Linked DNA regions of Canis lupus familiaris. The main gene of each other region encodes a partner of the protein of the gene in region 3 in a complex. Links are inferred from orthologs where the notes say so. Each region holds a gene or a part of one and is shown on either strand. Other genes may lie near its edges.

What was found.
Region 1: SNIP1 (region 3) and small nuclear ribonucleoprotein E-like share a complex: the UniProt entries of both Homo sapiens proteins name them as parts of the minor spliceosome. The link is inferred for Canis lupus familiaris from reciprocal best matches to the Homo sapiens genes SNIP1 and SNRPE.
Region 2: SNIP1 (region 3) and SNRPB share a complex: the UniProt entries of both Homo sapiens proteins name them as parts of the minor spliceosome. The link is inferred for Canis lupus familiaris from reciprocal best matches to the Homo sapiens genes SNIP1 and SNRPB.
Region 4: SNIP1 (region 3) and CWC15 share a complex: the UniProt entries of both Homo sapiens proteins name them as parts of the minor spliceosome. The link is inferred for Canis lupus familiaris from reciprocal best matches to the Homo sapiens genes SNIP1 and CWC15.
Region 5: SNIP1 (region 3) and SCNM1 share a complex: the UniProt entries of both Homo sapiens proteins name them as parts of the minor spliceosome. The link is inferred for Canis lupus familiaris from reciprocal best matches to the Homo sapiens genes SNIP1 and SCNM1.
Region 6: SNIP1 (region 3) and RBMX2 share a complex: the UniProt entries of both Homo sapiens proteins name them as parts of the minor spliceosome. The link is inferred for Canis lupus familiaris from reciprocal best matches to the Homo sapiens genes SNIP1 and RBMX2.
Region 7: SNIP1 (region 3) and CRIPT share a complex: the UniProt entries of both Homo sapiens proteins name them as parts of the minor spliceosome. The link is inferred for Canis lupus familiaris from reciprocal best matches to the Homo sapiens genes SNIP1 and CRIPT.

What each region holds. Positions count from the first base shown.
Region 1 is NC_049222.1:93,813,309-93,815,511, reverse strand, and holds small nuclear ribonucleoprotein E-like, read right to left. Parts: upstream 1,068-2,203; 5' UTR 1,049-1,067; coding exon 770-1,048; 3' UTR 608-769; downstream 1-607. UniProt on the Homo sapiens protein: Plays a role in pre-mRNA splicing as a core component of the spliceosomal U1, U2, U4 and U5 small nuclear ribonucleoproteins (snRNPs), the building blocks of the spliceosome.
Region 2 is NC_049245.1:19,125,505-19,129,851, forward strand, and holds the start of SNRPB (small nuclear ribonucleoprotein-associated proteins B and B'), read left to right. Parts: upstream 1-1,494; 5' UTR 1,495-1,649; coding exon 1,650-1,652; intron 1,653-4,076; coding exon 4,077-4,228; intron 4,229-4,347. UniProt on the Homo sapiens protein: Plays a role in pre-mRNA splicing as a core component of the spliceosomal U1, U2, U4 and U5 small nuclear ribonucleoproteins (snRNPs), the building blocks of the spliceosome.
Region 3 is NC_049236.1:4,999,126-5,003,250, reverse strand, and holds the start of SNIP1 (smad nuclear-interacting protein 1), read right to left. Parts: upstream 2,828-4,125; 5' UTR 2,693-2,827; coding exon 2,466-2,692; intron 2,326-2,465; exon of another isoform or gene 1,785-2,325; coding exon of another isoform or gene 1,783-1,784; intron 1,223-1,782; coding exon 1,120-1,222; intron 1-1,119. Other genes in the region: DNALI1 (axonemal dynein light intermediate polypeptide 1), read left to right, coding at 4,057-4,125. UniProt on the Homo sapiens protein: Required for pre-mRNA splicing as component of the spliceosome. As a component of the minor spliceosome, involved in the splicing of U12-type introns in pre-mRNAs. Down-regulates NF-kappa-B signaling by competing with RELA for CREBBP/EP300 binding.
Region 4 is NC_049242.1:6,122,856-6,126,463, reverse strand, and holds part of CWC15 (spliceosome-associated protein CWC15 homolog), read right to left. Parts: intron 126-3,608; coding exon 7-125; intron 1-6. UniProt on the Homo sapiens protein: Involved in pre-mRNA splicing as component of the spliceosome. Component of the PRP19-CDC5L complex that forms an integral part of the spliceosome and is required for activating pre-mRNA splicing.
Region 5 is NC_049238.1:60,887,577-60,891,857, reverse strand, and holds SCNM1 (sodium channel modifier 1), read right to left. Parts: upstream 2,908-4,281; 5' UTR 2,764-2,907; coding exon 2,713-2,763; intron 2,502-2,712; coding exon 2,431-2,501; intron 2,198-2,430; coding exon 2,109-2,197; intron 2,034-2,108; coding exon 1,936-2,033; intron 1,815-1,935; coding exon 1,726-1,814; intron 1,089-1,725; coding exon 894-1,088; coding exon of another isoform or gene 750-893; coding exon 650-749; 3' UTR 589-649; downstream 1-588. Other genes in the region: TMOD4 (tropomodulin-4), read left to right, coding at 748-911; LYSMD1 (lysM and putative peptidoglycan-binding domain-containing protein 1), read left to right, coding at 3,644-3,823. UniProt on the Homo sapiens protein: As a component of the minor spliceosome, involved in the splicing of U12-type introns in pre-mRNAs. Plays a role in the regulation of primary cilia length and Hedgehog signaling.
Region 6 is NC_049260.1:102,430,621-102,434,777, reverse strand, and holds the start of RBMX2 (RNA-binding motif protein, X-linked 2), read right to left. Parts: upstream 2,841-4,157; 5' UTR 2,712-2,840; coding exon 2,707-2,711; intron 2,512-2,706; coding exon 2,396-2,511; intron 1,136-2,395; coding exon 1,084-1,135; intron 1-1,083. UniProt on the Homo sapiens protein: Involved in pre-mRNA splicing as component of the activated spliceosome. As a component of the minor spliceosome, involved in the splicing of U12-type introns in pre-mRNAs.
Region 7 is NC_049231.1:49,890,967-49,895,333, reverse strand, and holds the start of CRIPT (cysteine-rich PDZ-binding protein), read right to left. Parts: upstream 2,907-4,367; 5' UTR 2,797-2,906; coding exon 2,781-2,796; intron 1-2,780. UniProt on the Homo sapiens protein: As a component of the minor spliceosome, involved in the splicing of U12-type introns in pre-mRNAs. Involved in the cytoskeletal anchoring of DLG4 in excitatory synapses.

The DNA.
Region 1 (2,203 bases), on a different chromosome or scaffold from region 3:
ATTGGTTTCAGAGGTAGAGGTCCATGATGCATCAGCACAATGGACTATTATCCATAAAAAAGAATGAGATCTTGCCATTTGCAATAACGTGGATGGCCCTAGAGGGTATTATGCTGAACGAAACAACTCAGACAGAAAAAGACAAATACTATATGATTTCACTTATGTGTGGAACTAAAAAAACAAAATGAAGGAACAAACAAAACAGAAACAGACTCATAGATACAGAGAACAAACTGGTGGTTGTCAAAGGGGGTTTAGGGGGATGGGCAAAATGGGTAAAAGGGAGTAAGAAGTACAGACTTCTTGTTATGGAATGAATAAGTCAAGGGAATGAAAAGTACAGGGTAGGGAATACAATCAATGATATTGTAATTGGGTTGTGTGGTGGCAGATGGTAGTTACACTTTCGGTAAGTATAGCATAATATGTAGACTTGTCAAATACTATGTTGTACACCTAAAACTACTATAACATTGTGTATCAACTTCAATTAAAACACACACACATGCACGCATGCACGTACACACACACACACACACACACACACACAGATTGTTGGGCCTCATCCCCAGAGTTTCTTTTTTTTTCTTTTTTTTTTTTTTTTAATAAAAACAATCCCACAGCATTTATTGTCCTCTGGTAAGAACATAAAGGTAATCAAAACAATATGAACAAGGGTTTTAGAACTATATTCCCAACAAAGGACATCTAAAAAAACAAACTACGTGGCCTTCTCAAGAATTTCTCACTTCACTGATCATTCATTCTAGTTGGAGACACTTTGGAGCAGGGTAATATTATCTCCTTTTAGCATGATCCGACCCAGTTGTTTTCTTGACTTTGTTTTAGAATGAATCTCTTTGGCATCGTCTAATACAAGGCTCATGTACTCATCAAAACCAATGATACAGCCCTCTATCCGCATGTTTATTTGCTCATAAAGCCACACCTGAATCCGAGATCTATTTTGCAAGTATCTGAAGATGAGGTTGATGGGCTGAACCATCACCTTCTGCACTTTCTGGCCCTGGCCACGGTACGCCATGGTGGAAGCGGACCCCAGAGTTTCTTTAATACATCTGCAACAAGGCCTAAGAATTTACATTTCTTTTTTTTTTTTAGGATTTATTTATTTATTTGTTTATTTGTTTATTTATTTATTTGAGAGAGAGAGAACACATGAGTGGGAGGGAGAGGGAGAAAGAATCTAAAGCAGACTCCCCACTGAGCATGGAGCCCCAACACAGGGCTTACTTAATTTCATGATTGCAAGAACATGACCTGAACCAAAACCAAGAATCAGATGCTCAACTGACTGAGCCACCCAGGTGCCCCAGAATTTATATTTCTAACAACTTCTGAGGTGGTGTCAATGCTTCTGGCTTAAGGATCACTCTTTGAGAAACTTAAGAAACAAACAAAAATGTATGGGATGCCTTCCTGTGTACCTACATACACCTGATTGGAGCTGCAGAATAAGAGAAGAAAGAGAAAGGGGCAGAAAGAATATTTGAAAACATAGTGAGCAGATCTTTCCAAATTTGATGAAATACATAAATCTACACATCCAAGTTATTATAGTCCCTATGTAGAATTGGCTCCTGCAGATGAGAACTCTGTCCTGGCTGACACCTTCATTACAATCTTGTGTGGCCCTGTAGCATAGCACCAAGCTTGGCCATCCCTAAATGCCTGCCCACAGAAACCGTGAGATAATGAGTATGTGTTCAAGCCACTAAGTGTATGGTTATTTGTTACCCAGCTACAGAAAATTAATACACTAGTCTGTCTGGCTCCTGCAGTCTATGCTCCTTGTCCCTTTCCTGATTAGTTAAACATATCATGAAAGGCAGTAACTGAGGAGTTGGTAGAGATTATAGACTTTCAGAGTTCCAAGAAACTCACAGGGCACTAGTCCAGCACCTCTAAGACATGCAGATCCCCTTCCTCAAGGGAACATCTAAGAAAATAGGGATATTGGGGATCCCTGGGTGGCTCAGCAGTTTAGCACCTGCCTTCGGCCCAGGGTGTGATCCTGGAGACCTGGGATCGAGTCCCTCATCAGGCTCCCTGCATGGAGCCTGCTTCTCCCTCAGCCTGTGTCTCTGCCTCTCTCTTCCTGTGTCTCTCATGAATAAATGAATGGAATCTTTTTTTTAATTAATTAATTAATTTATTTATTTATTTATTGGAATCTTTT
Region 2 (4,347 bases), on a different chromosome or scaffold from region 3:
CCTTCCTTCCTGTCTCTTCAGGTCTCTGTTGAATCTTTCTCTACCCTCTGGAAGTACTGCTGTTCCTCAGTGGTCTGTTCATGTCCTCTGGATCCAGGGACCCTTTAACCACACTCCCACTGCAGTCTTCCAGATTCCAGGGTCAGGTCCTTTAACTGTCCCCCAACTGTTCTCTAGCCCCCAAATTACTGCTTTAGGCTTCTTAGCTATTACCTGTGTCAATTCATAGGTCTAAAGACCCCTAAACACAGCCCTGATACCATGCCCCCTCAGCCCTTCATCCCTGGAGTCCAACCTTGCTAGTGACACCCCCCATCATCCCTCGAAGACAACCTAGCTGTACACCTGCCCTAGTTTGTCAGCAATGGGATTCCTAGCATAATCTTTTCCCCAGTGGAAATGGAATATAATACCATGCTATGCTGTTTTTATTTTCTCCCAATATGCATGATATATCTGTTTGCTGCAGCCCTTCAGGTGCAGACACTATGCAGTATATGCTTTGTGTCAATGTCACCCTGGCTCCCCATGCACATCCAAGTCCCTCGGTGACCCTGCTCCCATCTTTGGCTTGCCTGATGACTGTAGACCAGCTCTGGCCCATGCAAATCTTAAAAAAATAAAAAAAGAAGATTTTATTTATTCATGAGAGAGAGAGAGAGAGAGAGAGAGAGGAAGGGGCAGAGACATAGGCAGAGGGAAAAGCAGGTTCCCTGCGGGGATCGTGATGCGGGACTCGATCCCAGGATCCCAGGATCATGACCTAAGCCAAAGGCAGATGCTCAACCAGTCAGCCACCCAGGCGTCCCTCACCATGTTATATTTAGTATATTAGACCTCCAGGTCAAGCAGGTGGCTGGAGATTTTGGCCACGAGTTAAATAAAGCACCCAGGGTTAGAGGAATAAATCTGAAATTCCTGAGCATTTAGGTAGTATTCACAAGTCATAGGACTGGATGGGATTGGTTGATTGACTCATTTGTTCATGGAAATATGTTTAGAGCTAGGCATTGCGGTAACGAAAAATACACAAAGGAAAATCTATACCCTCAGAACTTGCATCCTAATGGGGAGGAATAACAACAGAAACACGGTATATTAGGGATCACCATTAAGGAGGAAGATAAAGCAGGTAAGGGCGGGAAGGCTGCAGTTTAAATAAGGATGGCCAGGGAAGTCCTCAGTGGGAAAATGTTACTTGAGCTGAAGTCCTGAAGGATGTTCGGGCAGGAGTCGTGCAGGTACCTGGACGACTAGCATTGCAAAGGTGCTAAGGCAGGAGCTCGTCCAGCAAGTTCACAGAAAAGGACAGGCCAGGGAAGAGCGGTGGGACCTGGAGACCCAGAGGTAATGGGGAGGGGCGTGCGGGCAGCTCCGGAACCGATTGAAGCTAGGGAGGTGACCTAACATCCCGGGAAATGTTGTTTGACGTTAGCCCCGCCCCAAACTCCCGCGGGCGTCTAGGCTCCCAGGTCGGCGTTTTGGCCGGAACTCAAGAGCCGACGCCGGGCCGGAAGTAGTTTTTACCCGACCCCATTTTATCCGCGGCCGCACTTCCGGTAGCGGCGGCGGGAAGCGGTGTAGTAGCGGGCGTCTAGGCCTCTGCTGAGGGCAATCCGGCGGGAATCGGAGCCATCAGAACCGCCACCATGGTGAGGACGGGCAGGCCGGCTGCGCGGGAACTTCCGAGTCTGTCGTGGAGTGGGCACCGCGGCCGGTCGGGAGGAGGTCGTGGGTTGGGGGCTCATGGCGGCGAAGGCCCGGGCCGCAGCCGCCGCGTCTGGGCGGGGGAGACTCGGACCGTGGCCTTTGGACGGGTTGGGGGAAGGGAGGGCTGGGGCCGAGGGACGGAGGCCGGGGCCGCTAGGTGGTGGCGAGGATGGGCCCGCGGCTGTCCACGCCGCTGTAGCCACGGTGCTTGGGATCCTGCAGGCACGAAGTAAACTTTTGCGCAATAAATGCGCGTTTGGGGTTTCGGAGCAGACATAAGAGCCTCAGGAGGACTCGTGAAACGGGGTGAGGGTCTGAGGGGGACTTGCGGAAAGCGGGGAGGACTTCTGGCCGAAACTAGAGAGCGTGCTTGGGTCTAGCAGATGGGAGGAGGGAATGGGAGGGAAACCGAAGATGGAGGAAGGGTTCAACTCCTTTGTGGGGCAGGTCTGTGTGAGCGTGTCTGGCTTCTCAGGCACTGGGGCTACTCCACTCCTTTCGCTTTCTAGTTGCGGACGCAGGTAATATGATCCAGAGTGGTAATTAAGCGCTGCGTAAAAGTAACGGGGCGGGGGGGGGGGCGGGATAAGAACGTTTTCCTGGAGTAGATGGTTCCTGAGCAGAGTCCTAACAGGTTGTTACAGGAGTCTCCCCAGCCTCGATGGAAGGGAGTATTGTAGATTGGGAGGGCTCCAAGAGCAGGGCGTGAAGGGCCGCACTGTTGAGGGTTCCTGGAGGGGTCGAGGGGGAAGGGATGGAAGAAGAGATGGGAGGAATTGGCAGGAACCTGGCTACTAAAGGCTTTCCATGCTGCCTGATCCCGTTGGTGATGAGGGATGCCGTGGAAGGATGTAGCCAGCGAAATGACGTGGACGCAGTTGTGTTTAGAAAGAGCGCTCTGTTCTGTGGCTGTTGCGTGTTGGGTGAACCGAAAGCCGGGGATTGTTTGTAGGATTGGTTTGGAAGAGTAGGCACTGGATTCAGTCTGTCTAGGTTCCAGACCAGCTTCCTGGCTGTGAGACGGGGCAAGCTACTTAACCTCTCCTGACCTCAGTGGCTGCATCTGTAAAATAGGAATAATAATTAGCCTGGTTTTTAGAATTAAATGAGATATTTAGAGACTGCTGGGTGGCTCAGTAGTTAAACATCTGCCTTGGGCCCAAGGTGTGATCCTGGAGACCCGGGATTTAGTCCCACATCAGGCTCCTTGCATGGAGCCTGCTTCTCCCTCTGCCTGTGTCTCTGCCTTTCTGTGTCTCTCATGAATAAATAAATAAAATGTTTAAAAAAATAAAAGATATTTAGTGCTTGTCACAGTGCCTGGTACGCAGTGAACGACCAGGAAGACTTACCTATTATAAGGTGGACAGACCAGTAAATGTTGCCATAAGGCTTCAGATCTGTGTGGCTAGAATCTAGAGGGCAGATTTAAATGGGGACACTGGACTCAAGTTAACCAGCTTGTAGCTGGTTAACAGTCATTTGAGGGAGAGTGAGCCACATAACTTGTGTCTCTAGGCAAGGCTCTGATCCACACATTGGTGGGTTGAAAAACCTGTTCTTGTCCAAGCTTACAGAGATGAACAGCAAGCACAGTAACTGGCAAGAAGACGACACTTGGAAGGCTGATACACAAATCAAATGCCAGGTTATTTCTAGAGAGGTATAACTGCCAAAGGCACCTGGCAATTTGCGTTGTGAGTTCTATTTAGTCTGTCTTTTACCAAAGCTACCTTGGAAGCCAGGCTACAAACCAGAAAAGGTTGTTGGATTGATAAAGAAGTTTAAAGACCATTATGTGTTCAAACTGATGAGCACCCTGGCCACCAGAAAGTTTCCCTCCCAAAGACAGTTTTGGAGGCACATTAACATTTTTCGTTTAGGGATTCCATTTGCCTTGCCTCCAAGCTCATCAGCTCCTTTCTGATAATAGATTCTTGCTGATTGGATCCTTAGTGCCAATCATTCCAGCTGTTTTACTCGGTCCTTTAACTGGGCTGTGGGTGTTCCACAGCACTGGAGTCACACACCTGTAACCTGCATAGTGGCAGATGGCTAATCTGGTATGGGGGGATTGGATTAGTTTGGAGATACCTTACTCCTCACCCCTGAAACTGACACAGCAGACACACAGGCAATTGTGATATGAAAAAGACTGATTTTAAGGGAGAGTAAGAGAGTTGTGGGCAGAGGTCTGGGCTGAACACTGGGTGTGGGAGAATTCCCCGGGAAAGGAAGACAGAGCTGAGAAGTTGTTGAGAGAGATAGCCATGTGGAAAAGTAGGCCAGAGCTGGTTTTTAGGAAGGACCAGGGATATATAGGTTCAAAAGAGCTTGACTCTGATCCTGCTGATTTCTCCTTGCAGACTGTGGGCAAGAGCAGCAAGATGCTGCAGCACATCGACTATAGGATGAGGTGCATCCTACAAGACGGCCGGATCTTCATTGGCACCTTCAAGGCTTTTGACAAGCATATGAATTTGATTCTCTGTGACTGTGATGAGTTCAGGAAAATCAAGTGAGAAGTGGGCTGCATGGGGGTGGGATTTAAATTGTGAGGGAAATGGACTGGGTGGGTGGGCCAAGCAACAGGTAGTGATGTAGCCAGCTGGTTCCTTGGTTTGCTCTCCTGTGTTA
Region 3 (4,125 bases):
TTCTTTTTTTTTTTTCTTTTTTTGAGATAAGGTCTTTAAAGACATGATTAAGTTGACAGCAAAGCCCTAATCCAATATGACTGGTGTCCTTATCTGAAGAGGAAGAGACACCAGGGATGCAAGCCCACAGAGGAGAGGCCATGTGAGGACCCAGCCAAGAAGGTAGCCATTCGAAAACCAAGGAAAGAGGCGTCAGGAGAAACAAAACCTCCTAACACCTTGACCTTGGACTTTAGCCTCCAGAATTGTGAGAAAATTAATTTTTGTTGTTTAAGGTATCCAGTCTGTGGTATTTGGTTATGGAAGCCCTAGAAAACCAACACAGCCCTCCTGGAACACAGTCTGGCATGCAATCACCATGCCATTTAACAATGGCACACCTGGGCACTTATCCCAGAAAACTGAAGACGTGTTCACACAAAAACCTGTATACAAATGTTACACAGCAACCTTATATACACAATAACCAAAAACTGGTAACAACTCACTTGTCCTTTAATGGGTAAAGGGTTAAAACCACACCACTGAGTATCACTCAGCAATAAAAAAGGAATCAAATACTGACAAAGACAAGCTGAATGAATCTCCAAAGAAATGTGCTGAGTGAAAAAAGCCAATCCCTAAAGGTTAGACGGATGATTCCATTTACATGATTCCATTTACATAATGTTCTTGAAGTGACAACCGTTATAGAGACAGAGAGCAGATTAGAAGTTGCCAGGACTTGAGGGGTTAAGGATGAGAGACAGGCGGGTGAGACTATCCAAGGACAACCCAATGGGTCCTTGTGGGGATGGAAATGTTCGCATCTTAACTGTCACGATGTCAATACCCTCCCGGTGATACTGCACTGGAATTCTGTAAGATGCTACCAGTGGGAAAAACACAGTGAAGAACGTACCTCTGTATTTTTTATTTTTTAAAACAGCTGAGTGTGTAAATCAACAATTCTCAAAATTTTTTTAAAAAGGTGTCACAAAACAAGTAGAAAAACAACAACAACCCAGTTTCTAGAAACACCCGCTACGGATAAAGGTAAACACCTAGGATCATGTATTTGTCAGGACGGTAAGAGATTCTAGATTTGGACCTGGTATCAAAACATCTCGGTCCGCTTACCTGCTTCACTTTGACTGTCGAGTGGTGAGGGCTTCGGCTTCTCTTACTCCGAGGAGACTTGCTTCTTCTCCCTGAGGACTTGTTTTTCCTCTTGGCTGGGGACCTTTTTGGAGCAGGGTACACACAGGATTTTATCTCAATTTCCCTTCCCCCATATACACTCACAGTCAAGTGTCAGGCTTACTTACTAACAATACAAACAGCACATCCAGTGAAGGGCTCTGCTTTTCACACCAAGGAAGGCGGGGAGCTCCGCTCTCCAGCCCGGGACACCCTCCTTGAGCTTCAGACCCCCCCCCCCCCCCACACACACACACACAGAGCTGCCTCTGGAGCATTCTGAGAGCCTGACTCTTGCTTCCCAACCCCTCAAAGCCCTTTCCTCCCTCAGCCTCTGCCATCTCAGTAACGGGTATCACCATCCACCCTGCTTCTCAAGCCCAAAAAACCCAGAGAACCCCCCGTGACTCCCCTTTCCTTTCCCCAGCAATAGCTCCCGACACTCTCCGGCAACAACCACGTCAATCCGACAGCGAGTCAGTCCTCCGGCTCTAGATCGCCTCTCTCCCCTCCGTTGATCCCTAAACGACCCCTCTCCACCCCCACCCCGCACTCCCACTTCTAGAACAATCACATTAACCGGGCTTCAGCTTCTTTGCGCACATGGGTTTCCCCAGCCTGGACAATCCTTATCGTTCGGGTCTCAACGCAAACCGCACGTTTTCAGAGGGGCCTTCCTTCTCTCGCTTCCTTCCAAGGCTCGCTCTCACACCTCCGGTTGGAGCCGCTTCTTAATACTTGTTACATACGGAAACTATTTTATCGGCCTTGTTACTCTGTCTCGAGGCGGGAGCACACCCATTCCATTTCGCCGGGGCAAAGGCCGCACGAGGCCCCAGGAGCGACGGCTGTCTTTCTTCCTTTAGCAACGCGCTCACAACTTAAGTCGAAGGAATACACGGAGCAGTCCAGCAAGAGATGGTTTTTCTTCCAACTGCCTACCAGGTGGATCGCCTGGGCTGCCAAGGCGGAGGGCTTCTGGGGCAGACGTCTGGAAGGCCTAGTAGGCCGGCAGCCCATGTGCGGGCAGATGCGGAGGAGCCTTTATTTCGGGTCCATATGCGCGGTGTCCGGGCAGATGCGGGGCGCAGGGATGAGGGGGGCGGGATCCTGCGCATCAGGCAGGGGCCGCCGTAAACGCTCTCCCGCACAGCGCCACCGGCTCACCCCCCCCCCACCCCCTTTGACATGAAACCCGAGCAGCCGCGCTCGGCTCCCAAAACGGGGCTCTGACGCCAGCCCCGCCCCTCCTCCAAGTCCCCATCCCGGGCGCCTCCCCCACTTACCGGCTGCCTCCTCGGGCTCGGCTCCCGCGGTGCCCAGGGCGGCCCGGGTCGCCGGCCGGCGGGGACGCGCTCCCGCCCGAGGACTCGGGGCGGCGGTGGGCGGGCGGCGCGGCTTCCGGGCTCAGGCGCTCCTGCTTCACCTTCACCACCATCGCCGCCGCCACCACGTCCCCGTCGCGGTGCCTCCGCCGGGTGCCCCGCTCCCGCTCGCTCTTTACCTCCTTCATGCTGAGATACGAGCAGAGAGCGAAGCGGGGGAGGGAAACAAAACAAAACAAACAAAAAAAAAAAAAGAGAGAGAGAGAGATCCGTTGCGCTCCTCTCGCTAAAGGAAACGACGGGCTTGACCCCCCGCACTTCCGCTTCCGGGTGCGCGCTCTCCCAGAAACCCTTGCGGCGGCGAGCGAAGCACGTGACCACGACCCTGCAAGCGGGAGGGGCTGTCGGGAGCCGCTCGGGTGGCGGGAGTTTTAAACGTCAAAGAGACGCTTCTGGGCAGCCCGGGTGGCTCAGCGGTTGTTTAGCGCCGCCTGCAGCCCGGGGCTGGATCCTGGAGATTCGGGATCGAGTCCCACGTCGGGCTCCCTGCGTGGAGCCTGCTTCTCCCTCTGCCTGTGTCTCTCATAAATAAACAAAATATTTAAAAAAAAAGAGGAAACAGAGAAGGAAATGCAATCACTGACAGCCCCCCGGGGGGGTGGGGGCAAGTCATTACTATCTTCCCTGCTAGTCCTGAGCTTCGTGTTATGTTGTCACTTCTCCATTTAATTTAAAAAATGAATTCTTAATTTATTTACTTTTTTACTTTTTTTTATTTATTTTTTTTTACTTTTTATTTTCAAGTCCTTTCTAGAGCCAGCGGTGGGGCTGGAACTCCCCACCCCCATATCGACGTCTCACCCTCTACTGACTGAACCAGCCAGGTGCCCCTCGCCCCAACACAAATACTTTTTAAAACTGGGGAGCAAAAAAATTATTTTTAATTTTTAAAAAGAAAACCAGGGAGCTCCGGGAATCCCCGGGTGGCTCAGCGGTTAGCGCCTGCCTTTGACCCAGGGCGTGACCCTGGAGACCCCGGATCAAGTCCCACGTCGGGCTCCCTGCGTGGAGCCTGCTTCTCCCTCTGCCTGTGTCCCTGCCTCTCTCTCTCTCTCTCATGAATAAATAAAATTAAAAAAAAAAAAGAAACCGGGGAGCTGCAGGTGCCTCCCTCTGGGAATCTGCAGATTCCCAAGCCTCCACCGAGGAGTCACAGGGCTCCCATTCTGCAGGTGACAAAGTTGGCGGCCAGCGAAGGTGACCGTGCGCCTCGTTGCAATGGCCTGCGAGCCGCAGCGTGGGGACTCCGTTCCCGTTTGGCGTGGTTTTCCAGGAGCATCAAGGCGACCCGCGGGGCAGGAACCGCGATCAACCGAGCGGGAGGAGAATTCCTGGCGAGGCTGAGCGGGAACTCTGCGCTGCTGGCCCCGCCCCATCCGAAGCCCCGCCCAGGCCACGAGGCGCGGCGGGGGGGCCGGGGGGTTTCCATGGTGACGGCAAACAAGGAGCACGCTGGAGGGGCGGCCGCCGGACTCGAACCCGCGTCGCCGCCATGATCCCCCCTGCGGACTCTCTGCTCAAGTACGACACCCCGGTGCTGGTGAGCCGGAACACGGAGAAG
Region 4 (3,608 bases), on a different chromosome or scaffold from region 3:
AAGTACCTTCTTTTAACTTTGAAGTTGGCCTGTGGCTGGGATGGACCAGTGAGATTAAGGAGAGGGTTTCCACTCAAAATGTTTTCCATACGTATTCTTTCTTCTTCAGCTTTCTGTTCTTGTTCCTGTCAATGACAGAGGAGGACTCATTTACTTACATTAATTCTGGGGTCAATCTTCTTTCATAACTCAAATTTTAAAAGATTGTTAGGATTTTATGATGGAGAAGGAATAAGCATCAAGGTAGGTTGTTTATTGTTTTGTTTTTTAAGATATAAGAAATACCAGAAAAGTTTCACTTACCAAAATAATTTGGCCTTATAATAAATAGTTCATGCTTGTCTACATTCATTAGTCTGACTCTGAAATTCTATGAATGCCTATTTAAATGTTTTCTTTCTTGAAGTACATCCAAAATTAATTGCTTATTTTAAGAGTCCATCAATAATACATTCTAGTCATTTAAGGGTATGTTAAACATCAAAGAAACACATTTAGCAAAGCTATTACTTTGATTTTTAAAGATGGGCTATATAGAACTATGATTAAAAATAATTTTATTTTGAATTATTAACAGTGTAAATTTGCACTTCCAGGACTAGTGATAAGTTATTATTAGCCCATAAGTAGCTAAAACTATCATGTAAAATATTATATTCAGTTAACATGCATTTCTACTAATCTACCCCACGTTTATCCATTTTGTTCTTATGATTTGTTACTAACTTTCCATTTTCATACCTCTCATCCTTCATCAGTTATGAGCTTGTCTTTCTTTACTTTTAATTTAGCATTAATTTCTTTAAACTCAAATCAGCCTCAGTTTCATTCTTAGAATTAGAAACATAAAATGCCTACAATTCTTAGCCATAGCAACTGCTAGATCTACCTGTTCATGCTCTCTTAAACCAAAAATAAATCCCACTTTATTGTATTTTAGGAAGGGGAAAACTGATGACTTAATAGATCAAGGAAAAAGAGACCTTCAATTTATTTTTTTTTAAAGATTTTATTTATTTGAGAGAGAGAGCATGTGTGCAAAGCAGCAGGGAGAGGGAGAAGCAGGCTTCTCGCTGAGCCAGGAGCCTGACATGGGGCTTGATCCCAGGACTCTAGCCTCATGACTGGAGTTGAAGGTAGATACTTACCTGACTGAGCCACCCATGCATCCCCAGGGACTTCCAATTTAAAACGAACCTAACAGGGGCATCTGGGTAGCTAAGTTGGTTAAGCATCTGACTCTTGATTTCAGCTCAGGTCATGATCTCAGGGCAGTGAAATCTAGCCCTGCATCAGGCCCCACCCTCAGAGGGAAATCTGCTTGGGATTCTCTCCATCCCCTGCTCACACACACACTCTCTCAAATAAGTAAATCTTAAAGAAAAAAAACAAAGCCTAAGAAAGTTCAAAATTTTCCATACAGGTTAATGATGTTTCATTTTAATATCCAAATGTGAACAACAGATTTCATTTTTAAGAGGCCAAATGACTGGAAAGTGAGAAGATGCAATAATCAGGGAAATAAACAGGTAAATTCCTTTAGGTCACTACTCAGACCTTAAGCAAACAAAATCAGGCACATGTGTTCCATCACAGATTAAGAACAGATAGCTTTCTAAAAACAATGTATTTTTTTGCAAATTATATTGATATTGAAAGTGAAAAGACATTTCTCTGAGATTCTAAAAAAATAAGAGCTCAAACATACAACGTATCCATCTTATAATAATGTATGTGATATAATAAAGTTCTGGCCATTTTATATTTGGAATATTACTTCCTTTAGAGTCCTGGCTGGCTGCCACATAAACCACTGGGAAAAAAAGGTGCCAACTCTTTCCATATTCAAGTCCCAGAAACATTATGGTTCACAAACACAGGCTATAATCAGCTTGCAGATGAAATCCAAACCACCCCATTGTTGTTAACAAAATTTTAGTGGAACACAGTAAACTCATTCATTTCTGCATTGTCTATAGTTGCTTCCACACTTCAGTGAGCAGAACTAAAGAACCACACTAGAGATTGCATGGTCTGCAAGCTAGAAATATCCTGAAATATTTACCATCTGGCCCCCTTTACAGAAAGCTTCCTAGCCCCTGACACAGGCTAATTGGTTTGAAAATGTTATATTGGGACACTTCAAAAATCAGCCGCTAGAAAACCAGCCAGGGAAACAGAAACCAAAGTAAAACTGTCCTTCAACCCCTAGGAACACCAATATATTTTTGTACAAAGAGAGTAGAGGAATCTTACAAAATTCCAAGACCTTCTGTCTAAAATATTTATCCTTTTTAAGGGTCAACCAAATGCACCTATATTTCTTGTCTCTATGTATCCAGAGCTGTTAGGCAAGTCAAAAGAATATGGAATACAACTGCCCTCTAGTGGTGGGCAAGTAATATCTACTATCAGGAAAGTTCTTATAATTCTTTGATTTTTAAAAATTAAATATGACAATTATAAGCTATTATGGGAATCACGCTATCCAATGCCAAACTTTGATGGAAATTGTATTTAAAATATTCTTCTTGGGCAGCCTGGGTGGCTCAGCGGTTTGGCGCCGGGTCAGCCCAGGGTGTGATCCTGGAGACCTAGGATGGAGTCCCGCATCGGGCTCTCTGCGTGGAGCCTGCTTCTCCCTCTGCCTGTGTTTCTGCCTCTCTCTCTGTTTCTCTCATGAATGGACAAATAAATTCTTTGAAAAATAAATAAATAAAATATTCTTCCAATTTGAATTCCAGCAATCTTCTACTTCTCTGGATTCCTCACATGAACCCATGTCAGTCTTTCCCCCCTCTTTAAACAGAGTAATTCTTGGTTCAAATGAAAATTTACACAGAAGCTCATAAAAAAAAAGCTGAGCTGTTCTGTTTGAAAGTGGAGACAGACATCTCCATCTAAGTATCTCATAATGTGTCAAATTCAACACGTTCCAGAGCTCATCATCTCTTTTCTCTCCACCTAAACATGTGCATCCTTCTGCCATCCCCTGTATTAGTTAATGTCAACAACATCTACCCAGGAACTGAGGGTCATCTTTGTTGCCATAGCTAACCAGTCACTTTATCTGGTCAATTTTACCTCCTTGACAACTCTCTCAGCATCTATTTACTTCTCTCAATTCCAATTCTATTATGCAAAATTATCTTAATTGCATATGAGGATTATTGGAACAGCTTCCTCAATCAGTTTTCCCAATCCTCTATACTTCTGCCAGGGTTATCCTTCTAAAATGCATAGCCAAGTAGATGACTATTAAATTTATTATTTATATTTTTCTATGTTACTGAAATATTTCATAATAAAAAAATAAAATGCATATCAAATCTTGTCTCCTGCTAAAATCAACTAGCTCTTCATGGCCTTCAAGACAGAGTCCAGGGGCACCTCGGTGGCTCAGGGGCTGTCTACCTTCCACTCAGGTCGTGATCTTGGGGTCCTGGGATCGAGTCTTGTATCAGGCTTCCTGCAGGGAGCCTGCTTCTCCCTCTACCTATGTCTCTGCCTCTCTCATGAATAAATAAATATCTTAAAAAAAAAAAGAAAAAAGAATAAGACAAAGTCCAAACCCCTTTAGCATTGGCTAATGAACCTCTACTTTTCTG
Region 5 (4,281 bases), on a different chromosome or scaffold from region 3:
ACTAGGCAGAGGTGGGGCAGCTCCCTCCCTTGGTGTTCCCTGTGGCCCTGCCAATGCAGTTAGTCCCTTCTGCTCTCACAGGGTACCTACTACCCCAGCCCTCTTTTCAGATACGGGTAGGGCCCCTGGTGTCTAACTACAACTTCATGTGATCTGAAGGAGGAAAGAACTTTGAGTGAAGGTGGGGAAGAAGGCAGACAACAAAAAAAAAAAAAAAAAAAAAAAAGAAGGCAGACAACATGAAGGGCAAAGACCTCCTTCTGACAGACTTATTAATAGGGCATTGGGCTGCATGCAGCTGACGCTTGGCAGTACTTTGGTTGAAGGTGGGGGAGGGGTCAGAAGTATGGGGAGCTGTGTACATTTCAGGGAAGAATGGGCCTGGCTGTCCTGAAATGGGGGACACCTGAAATGGGTGGCTTGGTTGGTTAATCAGAGTTTGACTCTTGATCTCAGCTCAGGTCTTGATCTCAGGGTCATGAGTTCAAGCTCTACATTGGGCTCCACATTGGGTGTGTAGCCTACTTAAAAAAAAAAAAAAAAATCCACCAGTGAAATCCTGAAATGGGGCAAGGAAGTAGACTTGAAGAAAGTTAGACTCCTGGAGCCTGCTGAAATTTATTTGTGAACTGAGGGGGAAAAGAGGGTATCAGTCTAAGGAAAGGTCAGGAGGTTCCTCTTCATCAGAGTCAAACTCAACATTCTCATCTTTTACCCATCGACCTTGTCCATCTGGGATCCATCCAGAGCTGCAAATAACAGAAAATAGAATAAATCAGGAAAAGAGGTTTAAGAAGTTAATGGGGATAAGAGAAAAACAATTGAGAAGGATTGAAATAAGAAAACTCAGAAAGAAAAGAGAAAACTTGAAGAAAGTGATTCTGCATACAAACCTTCGAAGGGTGAGGTAATGATCCAGGGCTCGTTTCCTCGTGGGGCTCATGGGCACAGGGGATGAGACAGTTGCTGACTCCTTGGCCTGTGGGCCAGCTCCAGGCATGGGTTCCTTAGTGATCTTCCCACTCTCAGGCTCAACCTCTGGGGGTGGTAAAGGGGGATGGGAGACAGAGGGACGAGGGGTTTCTGGTCTAGGTAGAGAAGAATCAACGTCTATAAAAGTAGTAAAGGAAAAAGGCCAATTCTCCTATGACTCCCAATCCCTTACAGAAGTGTTTCCTAAACTGTGTTCCTCAAGATATTAGTAAATGTCTTGCATAAAAAAAAGAATTTTGGAATCATATGAATTTTTAAAAGGCTAGTATAACATTTTGAGGGTTTTTTTTTTTTAATCTTTAGACTTTGTAGAGCCCTTCGAATATATTAATATTACTACTCTTCAAGTAGGATCACAAAGTGCCATTTCCTGGGGCACCTGGGTGACTCAGTGGTTGAGTGTCTGCCTTCGGCTCAGGTCATGATCCCGGGGTCCTGGGATTGAATCCTGCATTGGGCTCTCCACAGGGAGCCTGCTTCTCCCTCTGCCTATGTCTCTGCCTCTCTCTGTCTCTCATGAATAAATCAGTAAAATCTTTAGAACAAAAACCAAAGTGCCGTTTCCTAAACTTAAAAAAAAAAAAAAAAAGCAACATTCTCTTTTTTTTCTGAAATATCAGTAAACATCTCTGGAGTATTAATATTCCTGAGAATACAATTTGTAATACCTTTATCTTAGAGCCATCTATCTCCTCTGACCCGCCCTACCTCTGGCTTTCCCACCCCACAGACCTGTGCTTCCTGCGGCAGCAACTGTTATAGTGAGGAGCTCTGTGCAGAGCACTCTGGGTGGTAAGTCGGGTCTGCGTTAACAGAGGAGCCTGGTGTGGAGATGGGAAACACAGTCAGTGTCTTCAGAGCTAGAAAGAAGTCGAAGCCCTTCAAGCCTAAGATGTGCAGCAGGCCCACCCAAAACACACCCTCCCCTCCCTGATTACCTACCTCAGCCTTGATCTCTGACTGCCTCAATTCATTCTGCTGTCTTGGATTCTGCTCCATTCCCTTTACTGGCTGCTTCTTGCCATAGAAAAGCTGCAGGCCTGAAGGTAGAGGGGAAGAGAATTAAAAACAAAACCGCAAGAGTGATCTGCAGAGATTTGTCTTCCCTCACTTACTGGACAGATGTTTCTTGCCTGCACGGTGGGCAGTCAGCATGGCCAGGGTGTCCAGTACAGGTCGGTGGGGACAGATAGCACAAGCGAAGCTGGAGAGGAGGGTAGAAGATATTCGGTGCCAGGTGAGTGGGGTCTGGTTCCACCTGGACCTAGCAACCCTTTCCAAAACCAAACTCTAGGGTCTCCCAATTTCCACCACCCACATCCCTGTCCCTCATCCCCCATCAGAAAATCCTAGATACTCCCGCTCCCCCCTTGATAACAAAATTATACGAAGCCTATAACCGCAGCACCCTCGGGCTTGATCACCCCTCGCCCTCACCGTCCATCCCGTAGCATGAGCGCTTCATCCTCTGGGATATAACTGGCCAGCAGGTCCCCGACTCTCCGTTTCTGCAGGGGGTAGCCGGACGGGACCAGTGGGAGAGGAGGGAGGGGTCAAAGATTGAAAGGCAAAAAGGACCATGAGAACAGAGATCACTGGGCGAAGAAGGGGTCACTACCCAGCTCTGGTCGCGCCGGCCCCGCAGCTGTTGCCAGAGCAACAAAACAGCTCCTTCACGGGGCAGTGAAACTGTTCCCGATGCTCCCCTCTCGCGCTTACTTTGAGCACATTGAGTTGACTCGAATCATCCCCTTCCCTCTTGAAAGACATTACGACTGAGCTCCAGAAGCGAACAATTCTCCCGAGCCGCCTCGGCCACTCCTCTCAGGCCACCGTAGCGAGAGTAAGGCGTCTTCTCCCGTCGGGTTTCTTTCCGGTTGGCCTCCTTACTTCCCTAGATGCACAGCGCTCGCGGAAAGCCCGCCCACAGCCTGCGGAGCCGACCGCACTGCCCACGCGACCCGGCGACCCCGCAGGCGCGGGGCGTTTTGGGAAATGAAGTCTTTTTTTCAAAGGGCTTGCCACCCAGCTGGCTCCCGGCCCTTGCATCTTGGCTGATTCGAGGCGTCTGGGGAGACAAGAACTTAAATGTGGAGACCGACGTTGAGGCCGTGACGGATTTGCTGAGGAGCGGGCCTTGGAAGATCTCTGAGTGGAACGTGTAGTACAAACTCTCGCGGTCCTCACGCGCCTCCCTGGCCGCCGACAGCCCACCAGGAGGGGGCTGGATTTATTCCTGACACAAGCCGACCAACCCGGGACGAGGCGGGGCCGGGGTGTGAAGGGAACCTGGGAGGCGGAGGCTGCCTGACCTGGGGGAGAGGGGCGAGCTGAGCGGAGTGTGGAGGGTAACTACGGTTCAAAGGTCAGAGTTCATAGTGGTGGGAGGGTTGAAAGTCAGCGGGGTGCTAATAAGGAGAGACTCTGGTAGGGACTGGATCCTCGGGATACAGATTCGTGGGAAGGCGCCTGGGAAGCGGGACAAACGAGAGCCGCGGGGGCGCGAAGTGCCGGGGCAGACGGGGGTTTGTGAGAGGAGACGGGGGAAAGGAACCCCCTGGATAGACGTCCCTCGCCCCCAGCCCCGTGGCTGTCGGCACTTAGCCAGGCCTCCCTCACTTGCAACCCCAGCTGCCGGCGGGGTGAGGAGATGGCTTCGTCCTCTAGACAGGCCCCCCTCGGGGGGTCAGGACTGCTACAGGGGAGCCGGGCTCGTTCTTACGGAAGCCTGGTGCAGTCAGCCTGCTCCCCGGTGAGGGAAAGACGCCTGGAGCATCAGCTGGCCCCCGGAGACACCCTGGCTGGACTCGCACTGAAATACGGGGTGACGGTGAGTCTTCCATGGTAGGGATGCAGACAACCACTCAGAAGAGATTATTCCTCATTAGAATGTAATGACCCGGCTAGGCAACTTCCCCTGAAATTTCCTAATTGTGTTGTGGTCTGACCCACCTTTATCTTTTTGTTCTCCCATCTCAGTGTTGCCTTGTCTGGTTGGGACAGACCCTGTGCCACTATCCGGGTGGAGAGGAGCTGCTTCTATTTATGCCAGTCTCTATTCTAGAGGTTTTACATACATTGGCCCATTTGGTTCTCCCATCCCCGTCAAGCATACGTTTGTTTACAGATGAAGAAACAGACTTAGATTGGTTAACCAATTTGACCAAGGTCAAATAACCAATGAGCATTAGAGTGGGAATTCAAACAGATCTGACTCCAAAGCTCGTAATATTAACCACATGGAAACTTTTTAATTGCAAGTGATTAAACATTTACAGCAAACAGTGG
Region 6 (4,157 bases), on a different chromosome or scaffold from region 3:
ACACACTAGCTGATCATCACTCAACGCAAATAAGACAAAAACAGCCCCTATGAAGGCTGGACCAGACAGAGGTATCATAAGGGGTGGAAACTACAGGCTGCACCTGCTGTAAACTTCCAGCTGCCCAGAAGTCAGAGAAAGCAGCCTCTGTCTCTCTTGGGCGCTAAGCCAGAGTGGGCTGCCGAAGCCCTCTCTCATGGCCCTCTCATGGGTACTGCCCAATTTCTTTTCCATGGCCCTCTCCTCCATAAGCTGCTCCACCACTCAGCCACGGTCCTCTTCCTATTGGACGGCCCCACCATCCCCTGACATGGCAATGTCTCCGCCACAGTGTGCTGGCAGTGTTTACTTCCCCAAATCCTTCTGCCACAGTCCTCTGCCCTCAGGGTCCCTAAGGCCCCATGGACTGTCTAACCACTCTGTGTAGCTCTGGGTTGTGCCCAGCCCCTCTCCCACCAGCCGCCACCACCAGTGCAAGATGCTCTCCCACCCAATGCTGCTGCTTTCATCTATGGGCAGAATGAAGAATATAAGGTTCACCTATTCATCCTTGTTCCTCATCAGCCCATAATTCTCAGCTTCTGGGTAAAGAGACCGGTTCTGCTTACTAATCTTATACCCATCTAGAAACAAGAAAACTGCCTAAACTTTTTGCTTTTTCTCCCATTCCTCTGTGCTTTGCCCTAATCCCACAACACCACACAGGTGTAGGCCAGAAGGGCCCTGTGATCATGGATTACCCTTGGGTTTGCAGGAGCCCAAGGAGTCCAACATGGTAGTTTCCTGTGAGTAAGTCTATTCTGGTGTAGGCACAGGCTGAACAAGCCTCACTTAAAAAGCAATAAAAATAGACCAGAATCCCCAAGACAGCCTCCTAAATCATCTAACTTCTTGGATTTTCCATATTGGGAGCTCTATAACCATGTCCTGGGGCTGATCTAGACTAGAGCAGAAGCTCCAGCCCTCCCCATGCAGGGAGCCCAGTCAGACTAGAATAAAACAAATAGACTTTGTGAGGCCACAAAATGTATTAAGCAAGCATAATTTGATGACCCAGAAGGCAGGAAATGAAAAAGGACTTACTGTGAGAACACACAGATAATGTCCCCTTCAGTCAGTTCATAAGGAAGCCCTCCTAGGAGAGAAAACCACATTTCAGTTCCACAAACATTTACCAAGCATCTCCTCCATACCATGCACTAGGCCCAGCAATGTGGGTGCAAAGAAGAGTAAGCCACAGGGCCTGCCCTCAAAGAACTCACAGTCTGACGATTTAACAGAATCATATATAAGGTGCGGCACTAGTGCAGCAAAAGGAGTGATTAACTTTGTGGAAAGGTCAGTGTCATCACTAACCAAATACTCCCCACACCCAAAACCTTGCAAAGCAGACAGTTTGCAGCATAAAACTCTGTTTCCACAAACATATCTTGAACTCACCTGCTCTTTTTTTTAAGATTTTATTTATTTATTCATGAGAGACACAGAAAGCGAGGCAGAGACATAGGCTGAGGGAGAAATGGGAGCCTGATGCAGGACTCAATACCAGGACTCCAAAATCACAACCTGAGCCAAAGGCAGACGCTCAACCACTGATCCACCCAGGTGCCCGGAACTCACAAACTCACAGCTAAGATTACAGCAAAATCAGTTTAAATATGAAAATATTACCCCACCTCACATAGACTAAGGAATCTTTGGTTGTCTATAGACAACTGTTCAGCATTTCATAGGAAATAAATTCCCCTGCAAATCTTTCGTTCCTCATCTGTAAAATGGGGATATTAGTACTTATTTCACAGAACTGTTGTAAGAATTAAATAAAACAATGGACATAAAGTGCTTAGCACAATATCTGGTGCAATAACTTCTTTGCCCAAACTTTCATATTATTGGATGCGACACAAGTGAATACAGAGATGACAATATGGCCACGGACAGAAGGCAGAAGTTAAGTAAATGAGGAAAATGAATTCTGAGGGAAGGAGAAAGGGCGGGGGGGGGGGCGCTAGCAGTAATACAAGATGGTGGTTAAGATCATCAGTTCTAGAATCCCATAGTTCTGGTTGTTCCACTTATTACCCATGTGACTTTAAGGAAGTCCATTAACCTCCTCAGCTATGTAACAGGGGGGCGCGGTATGATAACAGTCTCTGAAACCAAGTGGCAAGGACCACAGTGAACGGCAAAGGTAACTATTATGGTCACTGACTTGGCAGGAGGAGCAAACTAGAAATGGAAGAGAAAAGAGATACAGAAAACGGATTTACGGGGCAGCCAGAAGAAAGAAATCTAAGTGCGTGATGAACGTCAGAAGGAAGGAAAGGCGGGAATGCTGAAAGGTTAGGAAGCGCACCAGGAGAGAATGAGCAGTGCAGAAAGATGTGACTCTCACCCAGGAAGATCCAGGCGCTGTCCTTGTACTCAGAGTGCCAGGACACCTTATCTGCCACCCCAAGCTGGACCTCACGCTCATTCAGCTCGTTGATCAGCTTCACTTTAGTTAAAGGGCTGCAGAGAGAGGCGGAAAAGCGGCCGTTAAGTGCGGCCTGGCCAGAGGTAAGGGAGAGCAGAACTAGAGGGCTAGTTCTCCAGTCTCCGCGCCTCTCCCACCCCTCGGCCCCGCAGGCTCTCTACCACCCCAGCCCCGGTGGGCAACTTCCCGCGGCCGGTCCCTACTTCTTAAGAGGTAAACTGAGGCCTTACTTCATCTCCTCAGGTTCGCGCTCAGCACGGAGACGTTAACTTCCGGGTGAGTCTGTGTCGCGCGTGCGCAGCGCCGATGCCGTGCGCCCATTGGACTCCGCGGAGTTCGCGCTGCGCCACGCCGGAAAGACGGGCGCGCTGGGGAGCTGCGCTTGCGTAGTAGCGCGGAGAGGCCCTTGGCTCGCTCTGCGTGTTTCGCTCTATCAGGGACTCTATCTAGCTTCTCGCTTAGTCCGTCTGTGAAACGCGGCATGGGTGTGAAGCGGGTTTATTACAGGACCCTCAGCTGCTGGAGGACGCCTGGCATTGATTGGGCTAGCTATAAATGTTTACTGAATTGAGATTGAAAAAGGTGCTGCTCTAGCAACTGTAGTCCCTGGCTCTATCCTCAGTGAAAATCCCCTTTCGGGCTTCCACTCCCAGCCAGTCGCTCACGCACACACACCCCTCAAACCATCCCTGATCAGAAATTGCAGCAGAAAAGTGAAGAAGGTATGTGAGAGGGGAAATCATTTTTTTCTCCCTTAAATCCAAATGCATAGGCAACTAACCAGTCTGATCGAATACCCAGATTTGTCTAAGAGCTCACCCTTTTCCCATAGTCTCGCTCCTACTTAAGCAGGAGGCAGAAATAAATAATGAGAAAGCTAATAGTTAAGCATATGCTACGTTGTGTGCTAAGCAATTCACTTGTACTGGCCCTCCCTCCTCATAACTAACCCCATGGAGTCTATACATACAATTACCTTCCTTGTACCGAGGAAGAAACTGAGATTCGAAGGAATTAGTTAACTCAAAGGATGTCCTCTGCCTCTACCTATCAGGTCTTGTTGACTTACTCAGTCCTTACTGAGGATCTATATTTGTCTTGTACAGTAAAATCTGTAGACAGGAATGTAAGGTGAAGTCCTCTGCCCTCTGGAGCTAATGATATCATTAAGGAGACAAAATATATTTGCTTGGTAGATTTCACTCCAGAAATAATGAGGAACCCATAGAAGGTATGGTGGCATACCTTCAGTGTGATATAAGCCATATTGAAGTTTTGAATCCATCTCATATGTGTCCATGTCAATAACTGGTATCAGACCATGCCTGGTCTAAAAGTGAAGTTCCAGAGCTGGGTAGTTCTCTGTGTAGGCCCAGCTTAGAGCCCCAGAAATTAAGCATTTCATAAAAGTACTTTGATGATGGGATTATGACAACTGTACCCTCAATGACCCATCATGTACCCACATCCTGACAAAAGCAGGAGACTCTCCACCAATCAAAGTTTCCCTTCATTCATTCTGTGTTTGTGCCCCCACCCCATCCAGCTCAGCTATTCATTAACTTTATGGAATTATCTTGGCAATGAAAACTAAACAGTGACAGATTGCATACAGGTTTTATCTGCTCCTGGGAATCTGAGGTTGCTTAGATGTAGGGTTGAAGTAGCCACTGCAAAGTGG
Region 7 (4,367 bases), on a different chromosome or scaffold from region 3:
GACAGTTTAAGGAGAGAAGAGGCAAAAGCAGAGAGAGCACAGTTTGAAGAGAAAGGAGCTGGGAGGGGATCACATTAGTTTAACTCAAGAGTGATGGGGACCTCAGGTAGGTTATTTAAGGGGTAAATGAGAGGCTAGGGAAAATATGAGCTATTGAATGGAAGTAACAATAGCAGGACAGGCAAGTGTTTGGATGCAGGTTGACAAAGGGATACCAGAACGAATGAGCGATGAATAAGGCTTTATGAATGGGTGACTGGGAGGACTGCCATGCCATTAAATGATGGAAGAGAAGTTACAGATTTATAAAGTAGGATGACAAATTCAGTCTTGGAAGTACTATACTACTATGTAACAACCAGATGAAGGGTCCCAGTATTGTCTGGAGAAATTTCTTCTATTGGTCTTGGTATAGAGAGAAGTCGGCTGGAGATGTGGATTAGACATTCACTGGCATGGATAAACTACTTGAAGCCAGATATTTCCAAAACAAAGAGTCAAAAGAAGGGCAGATGTCGATCACTGGGAAATATCTACTTTAAGGGAGAGGGAGAATAAGAAAACTTGGAGATTATAATGGTAAAGAAGAAGAGAAGTAAATTCAAAGAGAATCTAGATCAAGTTTCAAAGTCACAGAGAAGCAGAAAGGGACTGAAAGAAAGGTCTTTGAATTAAGAGTCTATTTTTATTTGGGGAATAAGATGGTACAGAAGGTAGAAAGGTACTAGAGCAAAGAAATAATACAGACTTTCAGAAGTGCAGAGAAGTAAAAAGCAAATGACCTTTATGACATATATCACGTCCCAGAGCCAAACTATGTGTATTTTAACATCACATCCGATCTTGGCTTCTCAAAATTTTTATGTGCCTTAGGAAATTACCTCTCAGAATTTGCCCAGTATCCTCAATTTTCCTGGGAAAAAAGCACTTATGGTGTAAAGAACATCACACAAAACAAGTTAAGCCCGTCAGAATGCCAGGCCTCTAAAGTTAAAATGTACCGAATTAACACAAATTACAAAGAAGGCTAATTTACATGTTTAGGAACTACCCTACATAAGAGAAAAGACATGGAGAAGGTGCATAACCTAAATATATGTAAGACATAGTTACTCAAACAAGCAAAACCAAAAAACCTCATAAGTATTGGATGGAGTAGAGTTAAAAGGACGTCAATGTCAAACAGCTTAATGTACTTTTTGGAGCAATGAAAATATTCTAAAATTGATTGTGGTGATGGTCGCACAACCCTGTGAATACGCTAAAAATAACAGAATGGCACATTTTAAATGGGTGACTTCTACCTATGCCAATTGGTAGAACTGCAATAATTTTTTAAAAGCTTCATGTGAGATGATGATGTAAAGCATAGAAAAATGAAAATATCAGTCCCACTCTACTCCTCATAAAATGGAGCAGAGTTTAATGCTGAGTGCCACATACTGGGAGTTATGATAGGAATAACCAGTTTTTGAGTATACACTAAGGCACTTTTATATCAGGCTTTACCTGCATTATCTAATTCTCACAAAACCCCATAAATTATGTATTATTCTCATTTTTCAGAGGAGAAAACTGGAGCCAAGAAATATTAGGTAATTCACCATGGTTATTCCTTTACATAATGTAAAACCTGTGATTCAAACTCATGGGTGCCTGTGTTTAAAGGTTTATCTACTGGGGGGGAGGGGAGAATATAAACAGAATTGATCAAGTTAATGTTAATCCAGATAAGAGGACTTGAAATCTTGTTAAGAAAAGTCTAGCCTGAGGAAAAAGAGACTTAGGGATATGAGAGCCGTTTTAAAACATATAGACAGTCTGTGACATCAAAGAAATCCTAAGATACTTTCCAGAAACATCAAGGGTTTGCATTAGAATCACTGCCTGGCAACTGTAGGGATGAAGGATCTTTTCTTTTCTTCTTTCTTTCTTTCTTTCTTTCTTTCTTCTTTTTTTCTTTTCTTTTCAGATTTTATTTATTTATTCATGAGAGACACACAGAGAGAGCCGTAGAGACACAGGCAGAGGGAGAAGCAGACTCCATGCGGGGAGCCCGATGTGGGACCCCAGGTCACGCCCCGGGCTGAAGGTGACACTAAACCGCTGGGCCACCCGGGCTGCCCAAGAAGGAACTTTCTAAAAGCCAGTGGCATCTACGCAGACTGTTTTGAAGGTAGTGAGGCTTTCTGAACCCTGCCTCAAGACCTCAGATATTCATGCAAAGAACATTTAAGTCAACATTTAAGGATGCTAACTTCGGGTTGCTCGTTAAAATACAGGATGCCCTGTTCAATTTAAATTTCAAATAAACAATGAATGGTGTTTTAGTATTGTCATGTCCTAAAGGTAAGCCCAAAGCACTTTCAGTACTAAGAAGCTGCGAGCAAAGACAAGTCTCAAATATCGCATGGGATATACTTCTAAAAAAAGTATTCATTTTTAAAATGTCTGCTATATCTGGAAACTCTGGGTGTTGTAAAAATGACTTTTAAGATCCATTCCAATGCTGAGGGTCTGTGAGGCTAAGGAGCCAGTCAAGAGCTGTATGGGATGAAATCCCGGGGTGGGGCTGGGGGAGGCAAAGGAAATAGACAAATCAGTACAAAACTGAGAACACTCCGAATGCAAAACCAATGGGAACGGTGAAAGGGATAAAGGACAAAGGCTGGAATCAGAGACTTGTGGCCGAAAGAAAAGACAAAGAAAAGGCGAAGTCCCCGGAGAACTCCTGCTAGCTTCTCCTGGCCTCCTCCCAAAGAGTCAGCCCCTTAACTCACATTTTTCGCACACCATCCTTCCCCGACGGTTCCCCCGGCCGCAGAAACAGCAGCAGCTCGAGAATGTCAACACAACAGCCGGGGCAGACGTCCCCTTCCGGGTTACGAAAATCCGCTTCCGGCCGCCCCGCCCTCCGCCCCGCCCACCGCCCCGCCCACCCCACACCTGAGAGGCCGTGGGAGGCGGGGCTTCTCCCATTGCCCGCCCCTCCGCTCCTGCAATTGGCTGTGCCGCCTTGGGTCTCCGCCCCACAGGCTTGCGCCTGCGCGTTGGCCAGGGCGGCGAGTCGTACCTGATGGTGGGAGGTGGTAGCTCGCGCTCCTCTTCCGCTGGCGGGAGAGTTAGGTAAGCCCAGCGGCGCCCGCCCGGCACGCGAGCCTCCCGGGGTGCCAGCGGCCCCCACCCACTGCCCACGTGGCCGCGAGCGTCTGTGCCCCCGGCCCGCTGGCGCCCGCCGCCCGCCCGAGGGCCACCCTTCCGGCGTGACCCGGGGGCAGCCCCGATGGACCCGGCCCTCGGATCCGTCCCTGTGTGTGGCGCCCTCCGTTCGTCTCGGTCTCCGCGCCCGTGCCCTTTTGCTTATGCCTCTCAGCGCGGCCCCGCCCCCGTTCACACTGGCGCGGGGTGAGGCTCGGGCAGAGTCCCGAGCGGCCGAGGTTGGCGGGGGGCTGCAGGGGCAGGTGCCGCGGGTTGCGCGGGTAAGCTCCGCAGCCTCCGGGGCGGTGGGCGCGGGCCGGGTCCGACCGCGGGGGCGGGGGCGGGGGCGCGGGCGCTGGCCGCCGGGGTGTGCTCGCCAGGGCCCACCCCCGCGGCTGCTTTCGCGGGGGGGCAGACCTTTGGCCCACCCTCTTCTCCTCGTTCGTTCGTTCATTCATTCAGTAAGCAGTTGGGTGCTGCTCCGTGTATTAGAGCCTCATCTGCCCATATCACTTGGGATTCTGAGAGCGGCCCAGAAACATACCCGAAGGGATAGTCCGCTCAGACGGTGTATTCCGGATCCTGCGCCCCTGCCCCTTGGTCAGCGGATCTGCCAGAGAGGTTTCCTTCCTCCCTTCTTGCTCTTCATCCCCTTCTCGGCCCCTGGAGTGTAGATTTATGTCAAAGAGGCGAGGGTTTGACGTGGCTATAGTGCTTGGGAGCTTGGGACCTTGGACATGTCTCCCAACGTGCCTTAGCCTGTTTCCTTATCAGTAGAATATTTGCCTTGGAAAATTATAATGTGAACTAGATCAGAGCTGTAAAGATAAGGCCTTGACTTGCCCTTTTGTTTTTCTGGAATATTCAACCACAGTGTAACATGGGTAACATGTGGACTGTTACTTTGATATTAGCCAGTACTATGTATAAGCTCTGCGTTAGGTAATTTATAAATAAACATATATGTTATACATACCACGATGTGTATTTTATAGAGAGAAAGAAAGATTTTTCTTCTACTTATGCCCTACTTTTGATTGGAACCTAGCACCTGTAACGGACATTGTCATTTCGGTATTTCTGGAGCATTGGGATCCCTTAGTTTAGCATAATGTTCTTTGGCCTTTCCTGATTACACTGGCCACCATTTGAGTCCTGAAGTGTGCACT